Drosophila melanogaster: one gene and its partner. Changing the gene in region 1 together with any one later gene gives a genetic interaction. Each region holds a gene or a part of one and is shown on either strand. Other genes may lie near its edges.

Evidence for each region. A genetic interaction does not mean that the proteins touch.
Region 2: of Opa1 (region 1) and PPP1R15, changing one suppresses a phenotype caused by changing the other (phenotypic suppression), as found in Drosophila melanogaster (one study listed by BioGRID).

What each region holds. Positions count from the first base shown.
Region 1 is NT_033778.4:14,230,092-14,237,063, forward strand, and holds Opa1 (optic atrophy 1), read right to left. Parts: upstream 5,359-6,972; 5' UTR 5,224-5,358; coding exon 5,195-5,223; intron 5,097-5,194; coding exon 4,799-5,096; intron 4,738-4,798; coding exon 4,602-4,737; intron 4,469-4,601; coding exon 4,352-4,468; intron 4,252-4,351; coding exon 4,177-4,251; intron 4,116-4,176; coding exon 3,526-4,115; intron 3,471-3,525; coding exon 3,097-3,470; exon of another isoform or gene 3,039-3,096; coding exon 2,874-3,038; intron 2,813-2,873; coding exon 2,625-2,812; coding exon of another isoform or gene 2,611-2,624; exon of another isoform or gene 1,874-2,610; coding exon 1,401-1,873; intron 1,336-1,400; coding exon 1,217-1,335; intron 1,154-1,216; coding exon 1,069-1,153; intron 1,009-1,068; coding exon 804-1,008; intron 748-803; coding exon 683-747; 3' UTR 520-682; downstream 1-519. Other genes in the region: Snrk (SNF related kinase), read right to left, coding at 5,989-6,684, 6,748-6,972.
Region 2 is NT_033778.4:23,975,064-23,978,928, forward strand, and holds PPP1R15 (protein phosphatase 1 regulatory subunit 15), read right to left. Parts: upstream 2,193-3,865; 5' UTR 1,829-2,192; coding exon 1,085-1,828; intron 1,025-1,084; coding exon 815-1,024; 3' UTR 536-814; downstream 1-535. Other genes in the region: mr (morula), read left to right, coding at 1-20, 77-277.

The DNA.
Region 1 (6,972 bases):
ATAGGGAACGAGCATTTGTTTACCTTGTAAGAGATATGGTACTGCACCGCAATCACGGACTTGTTATGTTACATAGCTAGCTACATACATAGTTAGCTAGATATACGTTTATCAATCAAACAATCAATCAATTAGAGACGCGGCCAGACGATCGGTCGGGGTTAATGCACCCACCACCGATCTCGATACCGATACAGATGCCGGCGCATCGCGGGATTAGCCGATCGTGGACAAAACGAAACAAACAATCAACCGCACGATGAGGCATCTGGTAAAAGTGCTGTGCTCTTATGCAAACCGATTTAAATATATATGTATATATATATATTACACGATACAGATTCAGAAACACACACGGACCGCTACATACTCAGCACGATGAGTGCGTTTCGCGTTAACGTTTATCAACTACAATTACATTAAAACAGAATGAATGATTTATATTACATTTAAATTAATGAGTTTACATTGCATTGCATGCGACATAAGGTTACACTTCATAAACAATAAAGACGATTTCAATAATACGAACTAACGATCTATTTGTTTATTACTTTCGGAGCACAAAGTATGCTTAACTAAGGGGCTCAAGCGTGACTATGAACAAACATTTCAAATGTGGTCTTAAACTATCAAGTTAAATAAGTAACGCCTCGGGTGTTGTGTCTTTGGTCATGGCACACTACTTTTCCTGATTAAGTGAATTGATGAACTCCTCCAGCTTCTCTTGGATCTGCCGCACTTTGACTGTTGAATTGAAAGCAATTAAATTGGCGCCAAATTCAATTAAGCAAAGCACTCACTTAGCTCCTCGGCTAGTAGCACGCGCTTGCCGGTGAGCAGGTAACCCTTCTTCTCCTCGTCATCGCTGAACTCGTCCAGCACCGCTTTGATCTCCTTGTCCAGCCGCCGCGCCTCCCGATTGATTACTTGCTGTCTCAGTGCGTTGCCTGTTATCTTGATCACCTGCTGGATGCGCCAGAAGAGCACGACGTCGCTGCAGGATATCTGAGAAAGCAATAAGTTAAGTAAATTGGTTCAGATAAGAGGGAAAACCTTAACACTTACCTCACACTCGGCTCCCTGCTGCGTGTAGAGGTAATATGCTTTGCGGCAATCCTTTGCCCTCTGTAACGCCTGCTGCAGAAAGTGTCTGAAAAAAGAGACATATGTGCTAACTGATAAGCAGTCTAAATGGTTTAGCATTACAACTTACTTTCTGTAGACCGGGAACCACGTTTGCCTTATGTAGTCCGTGTCCACATCCACGTTATCACGCTGAAGGTTCTTGCGAACCGTAGTCAGTTCATCATGGGTCAGGGTGGGCAAATGTTTCTACCAACATAATGTAATGCGTGTAAATGAGGAATAACTAACTATATAATGTATACTACCCATACCGTATCGTTTTTGAGTATTTTGTCGAGTTCGTTCTTAACGCTTCGCCTCTTCTGCTGATCCTGCGTCAGGTACTGCCAGTGGGTAATTCGTCGCATTTGGCCGGGACCAAACATTTGTGCTAAAGTCTCCTCCGTCTGCACGAGCTTGGCATTCACCGAACTCTCCAGGAACTTAACCGCCGAATCCCACTCCTGCTTGTCGTGCACGAACCGATCCTCCAGCGTATTCAGCTGGATAACGCGAAGCATGTCGATGGCCTTGTCCTCCCAGCTGTGCCGACGTATAGCCTCATCCACCACCGCAGACTTCAACTGATCGAAGATGCCGTCGTGATCCTGCGCCTTCTTCGAACGCTCCATCAGCGATATGAATTCCTGCTGCAACGCTTCCCAGCCAGCTTCCACCGACTTAGCGGGCAGTGCCTGCTCGGCCCACTGGCGCAACTTGATGTCTACCATCGTGTTGAAGGAATCTATAAAGAGCATAGTAATCGTATGAAATTAGTTGAGCCAAATTAACTAGACACACAACTACGGGGGGAATGATAAACAAAGCGACGAAACATTCAGATTCCTAACTCGATAACTGCAATTTAATTCAATTAGACATTGATTTGGATGAATTCATTGAGCAAATTAACAGGTCTGTCATAAAATGCTAAATAAACACAAGCTGAGCGATGGCTTAAACGGGTTTTTCGGTCATAAATCGCTAATATCGCATACGTTTTTATAATGTGAACATAAACCAAAATCTGGTTTCGGTACAGGTGCTCGTAAATCTTCGTTATAAGCGACTTTCCGGCACATGATCGCAACGCAGAACCTGTGACAATCCCGGGTCACTATTTTGGGGCAAAGGCAAACGGTGTTAATGGGATTCGAAATCGTCCGCCGGGGAGTACACATTAAATTTACACTTGTGATTCAAGAAATGTTGCAGGAATATCAGTCAAACCGGTTTGAAATTATTTAACGCATGTGATTCCCTTGCACGGGAATTCGACGCTGAATGCGGGCCATGATAAATACAAAATTAAACAAAACATTTAAACGACACAACGTTTTGCAGAGACACGTGAGGTTCGAGGCCAAGCCATATCTTCTTGCAAGAAACACACACAATGACGGAGCACACAAGGCGGGCGATTGGATGGACGTGCCCCCATCGATGACGTCGGCGAAATCTGCTTACAACCTACACTTAGTACTACAAAATATTACTTTGAGAACCTGACTGTGCAGCGGGCAGATAGATGCTTTCAAACACATAATTGGAGAGCTTTTCCCATAGCTTGGTGCTCAGAGCGTCGTCCCACTTTTTAGCGGAGATTTGCGAGAGCGTTACCACCTCGTCCAGTATCTCGCCCTTTGCCTTGTCGAACAGCTCATCTCGACCAGACTCGCGCAATCTAAAAGAGTATACCTCAAATGTTATAGATCTCTTATATTTTTTAAAACATTTTTACAAACCTGGGGAAGTTATTTTTCCATTCGGTTTCCAGATTAAATCTAGTCGCCTTAAATGCATCCGCCTGCTGCTCAATGGTTTCCCTCACCATCTTCCAGAAACGATCTGACACCGCCAAGCTCAGATTGCGGCTGGTCACCTGATGGGGCATGATAACCCCTCGACGACTAAGTATGGAGAGAGGTGAACTTTGGAATTTACCAATCACATCCTCTCTATACTTACTGGAAAAGCTTGGAGTTCTTAAAGAAGTCTTCCTCATACTGCCGAATAGCATCTATGCTGTCATCCTTTCGTCCACGACCGGTAACGACGGCATAGTAGCCCAAAGCCTTCATGGGGAAGAGTTTGCCCGAAAGGATTTTCCTTATTCTATCAGGATCGGCGAGCTCCTCGGCCAGATCCACCTTTGTGAGCACAAAAATAGTGCGTCGACCCAAGGGATCGCACTGCATGACCAAGTCTGTCACATTACTGCGCTCAGCGTCCACAGATCCATCCTGAATGCAGAGAATGATGGCGTTCGGATTGCTCATATAATGCTTGGTCATCTGGTGAATGGAATCTTTTGTGTCTGAGGCCATGTCGACAGTCATGGTCTAAAATGATATTAGCATTAGATGTGCGCAGTTTTACTTGTATTGACTTGCTCACCGAAATTATTCCTGGCAAATCGACTAGAACCATGCGTTGCAGACCGGGACCCTTGACCGTCATGGCAATGACTTCATTGCTGACGGTTTTACCACCTCTCACCGACGCCTTCATTCGGAACTCCACATCCCGACGGAGGTCCTGCAGATCAGACTCCTTGGTGAGATCGTATTCCCGGTCAGAGTCACGGAACTGAGCCACATGGTATGGTCCTTCAGCCAGAGTAACTTTGACTGGGGCTCGCGTCATCATCTCTCCACTGCCACGGGGAAAGATGCGAGCCTTAGCAATGGATTCCAGGACAGAGGTCTTGCCGCTGCTCTGATCTCCCACTACCACAACACGGGGTAGGTGATCGGCCATGGTGTAGCCCGTATCGTAGCCGGATAGCTCATCAAGGACCTCAGAGTACATGTCGATCAGGGATTTTTTGATTTTTTTTGCCGTGGTCTTTTTGTTTGTTTTCAGGATGAGGTATTGCTGGCGTAGTTCACGGTTCTCCTTCTCCATCTTCTCCAGCTCCTTTTGGTACTTAATCTGGACGTTCATGATCTCCGTCTGCAGCGTCTCCACCTGGCTCTGGAGTTTCTCTGCGGAATCACAGAAGGATTAGATATAGTATATCTTTCGGCAGGTGTGCAAAAAACCTACCATACTTCTTACGACTCTCATCGGATGTTATGCCTAAAGCGGCCACCGTTGTTTTGGCCTTTAAGTCATCTTTGGCTGCAACAGATGTTAGGAATAAGTCTCGAATGCGGTAGATAGGGATCTCTCACTTTAAATGGTCCCAACGTTGGGAGTCTGTGTAATTTGTGTAACCTACTTTCGACAATCTGAACTCCTTGATAATCGGCCGCCTCGATGGCATCGTCCAGACGACTGTCAAACCAGTTGCGCCATTCCGACAACTTATCCTCGCCCAGCTGCTTGAGCTTTGGATCTACAAGCAAACGCCCCAATAACATCAGTATCAATCAATCAAAACGAAGAGTTCAATGCGAATCTGACCAAGGTATATGACCATTTAAAGTGAGAGATTGAAAGGGCGATGGTAGGTCTACATGGACACTCACCAACTTCGATGGCGTTCTTCACCAGCGAGCCCACCTCAATGAGATTCCGCGAGAACTGGCTCCACCGTTCGCCCTGCGGCATGGCATCCTCCAGCCACTTAAAATTCGGCAGTCCATCCTTCCATTCCTCGTATTTCTGCGGAAAACAAATCATGTCTCCTAAGTTCTATACAAGTTATATAACTTGCGAAACTCACTTTGCTCAGCGACACGCCCCCGCCGATGGCGCCGCCCAGGACGATGTATCGCAGCTTGAGGGCTCCCCGCAGTATGCGCACCACCAGCATTCCGTAACCACGCGACGGCGGAGGCATTTGCCAGCCCCGCGCCGGATTGCCGGCAAGTAGGAACTCCTCGTGGCCACGGTGCCTGCCATTCGAACTGGAGCTCCCGCTATCCTGCGCCCGACGTGGATGGCTGGTGATGCCACAGAGCGTGGAATGATTGCAGCAGGCGACCTTGGTGGAGTAGACAACAGCTTTTCTCGCGGTGCGCCTGTGGGCAAAACACATTGAATGATGAGATTCGCCGATGACGAAATCGTGCAGAAAATCTGCACGTAAGGCTTTCGCGTTTCGGGCGTGGTCTCTCACCGGTAAGTATTTTGATAGATGCGCAACATAATTGCTGGTCAGGATTACAGTTTCCACTTAGTTTACTTTGTTTATTTCCGTGAATAATTCAATTTTCCTGCCGCAAACTCATCTCTGAAAAACTTTACGGGATGTGCTCTGTGTGACCAGAGTTGAAAAGGGTGGCTTGTACTCGTTTGGGGTACCTGCATTAGGTACAATGTATTTTACACGCATCATTTTGTAAAATAAAAGAATATATTTTTGTATATTGTATATTTTTCTTACAATAAAAAAAAATTGCTTGGTGACATCCATCATTGCTTAACTACATCTTAAGAGCTTTAAGTAGTTAAATGTTTATTGCTTTATTTCCTTTACCTACTCTACAACATTTGTGGTGTGTACACACTGTAGTTGGGCGCAAACATTTGAATTGCCAATTTTAGATTGTGCGAGTTGCGAGTTTCATTCCATTTTAATTCGTCACAATTTGTTAAAAAGAAAACAAATAACCTTTTTAGTCAATTGTCATATGGGCATTAATGTATTTTCACTAAATATTGCATTGAGTGATTAGACTTATAATTAACATAAATTAATATATTTAGAATAATTTAAGCGTAATGACGACGACAGACAAAACAATTACGCTACCACTAAATTTAAATATTCTCGCGCTCTTTCCTATATACGGGGGATAACGTTGACGTTTATACGTTTTAATTAATACATGCATATTTTCTATGTAGTTCGCTTAACCGAGTTTCTTTTTAATATTTAGAATGCACTTTGCAAAGAAGTAACTGTGTCTATTAAGAGAAGTTCATCACGGGAAAATATTTTCCCAGCCGTCGGATTTTCTTCATGGTGACAAAGCATTTAGAGCCGGTAACGTGTATTGCTTTGGTAAGGCTTTTATCCTCCAAAATCAAGTCGATATGCTCGATTGAGTTCAGATTATAAATATCTTTTGGTGTTTCGTTGGACTTCTTGCCGTTGGCTTTCTGGCTACTGATGTGGATGATGCTCTGGTTGTGATTGTGATTGAAGTTCCTACTAAGATTGGTATTGTTATTAAAATATTGCTCTTGTTGAAGCGTTGCTTTGGCTGCATTCAAAGTATTCATGATTTGGTCCGTGGCATTTGTGGCGTCTGCCTCCTCGTCGTACTCCTCCTTGGTTTCGGCAACGGAGAATGTGCTAGTGTTTAGGCTGAGTAAAGAATATCTCTGATCGATATGTTGGGTGGACGAGGACGACGAGGATGCTGCCTCGCTCTCCGCGTAGCATCGATGCCGCATCTCGTATTCCTGAGCCTCTGTGATGCGGTCCAGCGACTGGCTCTCGCGAATGCGCCGCCTTCTATTCGTGGAATTTCCTGTTGTAGCTGTGCTGCTATCCGCCAGCTGCCTCTCAGCGTGGGAATGCTTATCAACATGATCCTTGTTGTGCTGTTTCCGATTTTTTTGGCTGTGAGATTTGCGATTTTCATCGGATTTGTTATTTGGCTGTAAGCAAAGAATATAAGTTTAGTAGCTGTCTCACTGATAATTATACAATAATAATCGTACCTCTTTATACTGCGATTGTCCCTCTTTTTTGCCGCTTACTGAGCCGCTTTTGGAGATAAAATTACCCGCATTGCTGGCCGAGCCGGGCGGCGGATATAGCTGATCTTGCGAGTCGCTGGAGTCGTCATGCGAGTCGCGACGATGCATGCGAAACCGCACTGGCGTGTCACCGACAAATTTGTTAATCTTTTTCTTGTTGCGTGTCTTGGTGTCGTCGTCTGAGGC
Region 2 (3,865 bases), 9.7 Mb from region 1:
AAAGGGAAGAAGAACTCCAAGTAAGTGCCTTCAACTGTTCCTAATTCCGGCTTTTTCTTATACAATTATGCCGCAGGTTTTTTGGTCCTATATTGTTGGAATGCTCACGAATCTTGACTCCATGCCAATTGACCGAATCCACCAGATGCTGAAGCTGTTCGCCTCCCACAGCGGCGGAGTGGAGTTTACTCAGGATGAGCTGAAACACTTTCTCCAGCGAAAAGTCAGGGAGCACAAGCTAATATTCTCGGGTGGAGTTTACCAATTGGCCAAATAAGTTTCGGAGATCCAAAACCAAGTTGCAAACGACTGAAGGAATCATGAAATAAATAATGAATTAACGCGATAACATTTATGAAATTTACTGCTCCATGTTAAACGTACCTATTTTTTCAAACTGCCGTCTTATCTGTTTCTATTCAGAGCTTATCTCTCACCCACGTACACACAAAGTCTTTACCCAAACTTGTTTGGCTTGGGAATTTGGAACACAATGCAAGCAATCTTATGTGAAAAGAAGAACACACAGTAAAATACGTCTATTGCTTAATTTATTTCAAGTTATATTAAGGTATATGCTAATCCCGTTATCAACAAATTCAAACTTCTTAGGGCTCTAAAACTAAAGGCGAAGAAAAGTGTACGTGGTTTTGATATACTTTACAGGTTAAACAGTTTTTGGCTTCATAAAATCAATCACGAACGCAGTGGCTAAATCGATCACTTTATACACGCAAACAACTTGGAATTTAATGCTGTAATCGTTCTAAACTGTAATCTGTACATCAAAAGTTACTTCAGGTATGCGGACCAGCTAGTCCTCGTGCAAGAATCGAGCTTGGTAGACACGATCTCGGTGAACTGGAGTCAGGACGGCATTGAGAATGGGTGAAATCCGCCGAATCCGCTGCTGAAAGCGATCCCGATCTCGCGCCATTACCTGCCATTCGCTCTTTCTGGCAGCCCGATAAGCGTAGTCCCAGGCGAGCATTACGTGAACTTCGGGTTTCATGTTGAAACGAACCTGTGCGCATAAATAGGAAATTAGATATGCCCACTTATGCCGCGCAAAAATATTCTTCACCTTCTTGACAGGAGTCGAGCTGTCGTCGCTGCACTGGCAGGCCTTTAGCTCCTCGGTATTTTCATCCTCACCGCATGCTGTAAACTGCACGCTGCTGTCGTCGTCATCATCATCCTCGTCTTCCTCGACATCCTCATCCGCCTGCTCTGCGTCGTCCTCAAAGCAAATGAAGCTGTCCTCACTGCACTCGGAAATACTACGCTGCCGCTGCCAGGAGCTCTTGGCAGCCGATCCTTGCGAACAGCCAGCGTTGTTATTCCGGTCACTGGAGGCTTGACTAGTAGGGCAATCCTCCGCGGTATCCTTAAAGCCGTGGTGCGGATGCAGGTCAATAAAGAAGTAGCACGAGGACGGTACGCAACGCCGCAAGGCGTCCAACTCGATTCCCGCCATCTTGGCGCCCGGCGGACTCTGGGCGTTGACGCACTTGTGCAGGGCGGTCTGCATTTGAGTTACTACGTCCATAGCCATTAGCTTGAAAGACATCATGGTGGCCAGCGGATTCAGGGGGTCTGGCTGCAGGGTTGGGATCCGCAAATCCTCGGGGACTTCGAGCGGTTTGACCTCGGGTGCCTCCTGATGCACCTTGTTTGGCTTCCACAGTGTACGTGATCCAGCGGAGAGGGGACGTGACGGCCCGAACCGATATTGCTCGTAGATAGGGGAACTCATGTTTGCAATCAGGCGGAGAACAAAGAGGAAGGGGTCAAACAGTGCGCCCATAAGGGTGTGAAATTTCGACATCTGAACTTAAAGACACAAGTATGCGTTTGGTGTGGTGGGAATCCCTTGCGAATGGCCATTTTCTTGAACTTGGCTTTGGGGGGCATGGTGGCCAGCTTAATTTGAAACACACTTATCCATGGTTACTGCGATTAACTAATGTAATATGGAGTGAAATAACGCACATATATGGTGAAATGTTACGTATGTCGTGCATCCGATCCTTTGCACTTTACTGTTTTTCAGTTGTAGGCTAGTTCTGCTTTCGTTTGTAGCGTATATAGCGAGATATAGAGTCCAGGCACAATAATATTCAGAGTTTTACACGTTTTATACCAGAATAGTTCCATACTTTTTCACTAGAGCTGAAAATTTATCGATAACAGACGTTGAATCACCTTGGGTATTGTTGTTTTTGTGACCATTCACTTAAGCACCCCACAAAATCGTCCCATTCAAAACGGGCAACTGCAAACTATCGATAGGCAATTTCAATTTCAAGTTTCAAATTGTTGAAACTTTTAAAAGGGCTTTCCAGATTTATTAAAATAAGAGGTTATTTAAATATTTTTCTATTTACAGATTGAAAATGAGTTTATTGTTGATAATCTGATTTTTCTCCGTGAGTGAACATTTTTAGGTATTATTGCGATTTAATAGCAATATTAAGTAACCGTGATAAATGTATACTTTTATTTAAGCTGGATGTAACACCGATATACAAATTTATGGATCATAAGCTCCTAGGAAGTCACTTTAAAAATTGATCATATGATTGATGAGTCATCGTTCATGATTCTGGTTTATGAAGACGAAGACAGATCTAGTTATAGTACTCCAATTGTTAGAATTATGTATGTTGGGAGATTTGCTTATTTTAAAAGAAATAAATTAAGAATAAAATGTAAATAAATATATCGCAGCCTTAAAACTTAGGATGAAATATTGCGGTCGCAGCGATCAACTCGATTACTTCCGTGTGTCCGAGTACAATTAAATCATGCATACTCGTATGTACACTGCATGTACATGGTTCTTTACCCGATATTTATACCTGACACTGTATGAAAATGCAAGTGCATGTTCCGCTGCGTCATTCTGTAGATAAATACTATGTGTACATATGTACATCGAATTTGTATCTGTTAATATATATAGTTATCTCTATATTTTCGCATAATATTCGAGTGTTCTACGTTAACTGCATGCCATTTATGCATATTATTCGAGATCTCGTATATGGCAGCATAGTGCCTGCATGCATATGTTTTCTGAGGATGTATGTACTGGCATACATATAATATCTGATATTTACGTATAATATTCAGATTTTCCGCTCTCAAGACCGTTCGGAATCGTCTGAAATAAACAGAAGCCAGATTCATATTCATGCGCACATATGTATATTGCACGCTTATACGTAATGTGTATTTATTCTCGTATATATACATGCATACAACACACAAGCAAACGTACAGATTAATCAAACAGCCATATGATTAATACACAGTGGAACAGCTGATTCATAAGCGTACATGTACACACCCCTCCCCGCACACAGCACACCAACACTGTTGCGCTACTGCAACAGTTGATATCAAACCAAGGGGCGCAGTGCGGGTGGCGCCAGCCAGAAGGGCGCTGTGAAGAATTGATGACTTAAAGGGGCACCGAATCAAATAAAGAATTCTATGCTGATTGAAATAACTCTTTTATGGAAAATAAGGAAGGCGTAAGGCACTTTTATGCCAATGCAACTGAACTAACCGCAAGTCCGCTCCTGACTCGTCGAGTCAGGAAACTCTCGCAAAAACCTGCGCTCTTTCGGTCTCTGGCACGCACACAGCGACAGCTCGTGTATGTGACGCTGGTATGGGTGCATGTATCTGTATCTACGTGCTGTGGACTCAACTCAAATCAACTTGCAGTCAGTTCACTTGAACAGCTGTGAGCGATCGACGTTGGTCGGGAAGCAATCACAATCGAAACCACACTCACACACACCAAATACACACACCCACACGGATACAGCAGAGCCATATATATGTATGTATGTGC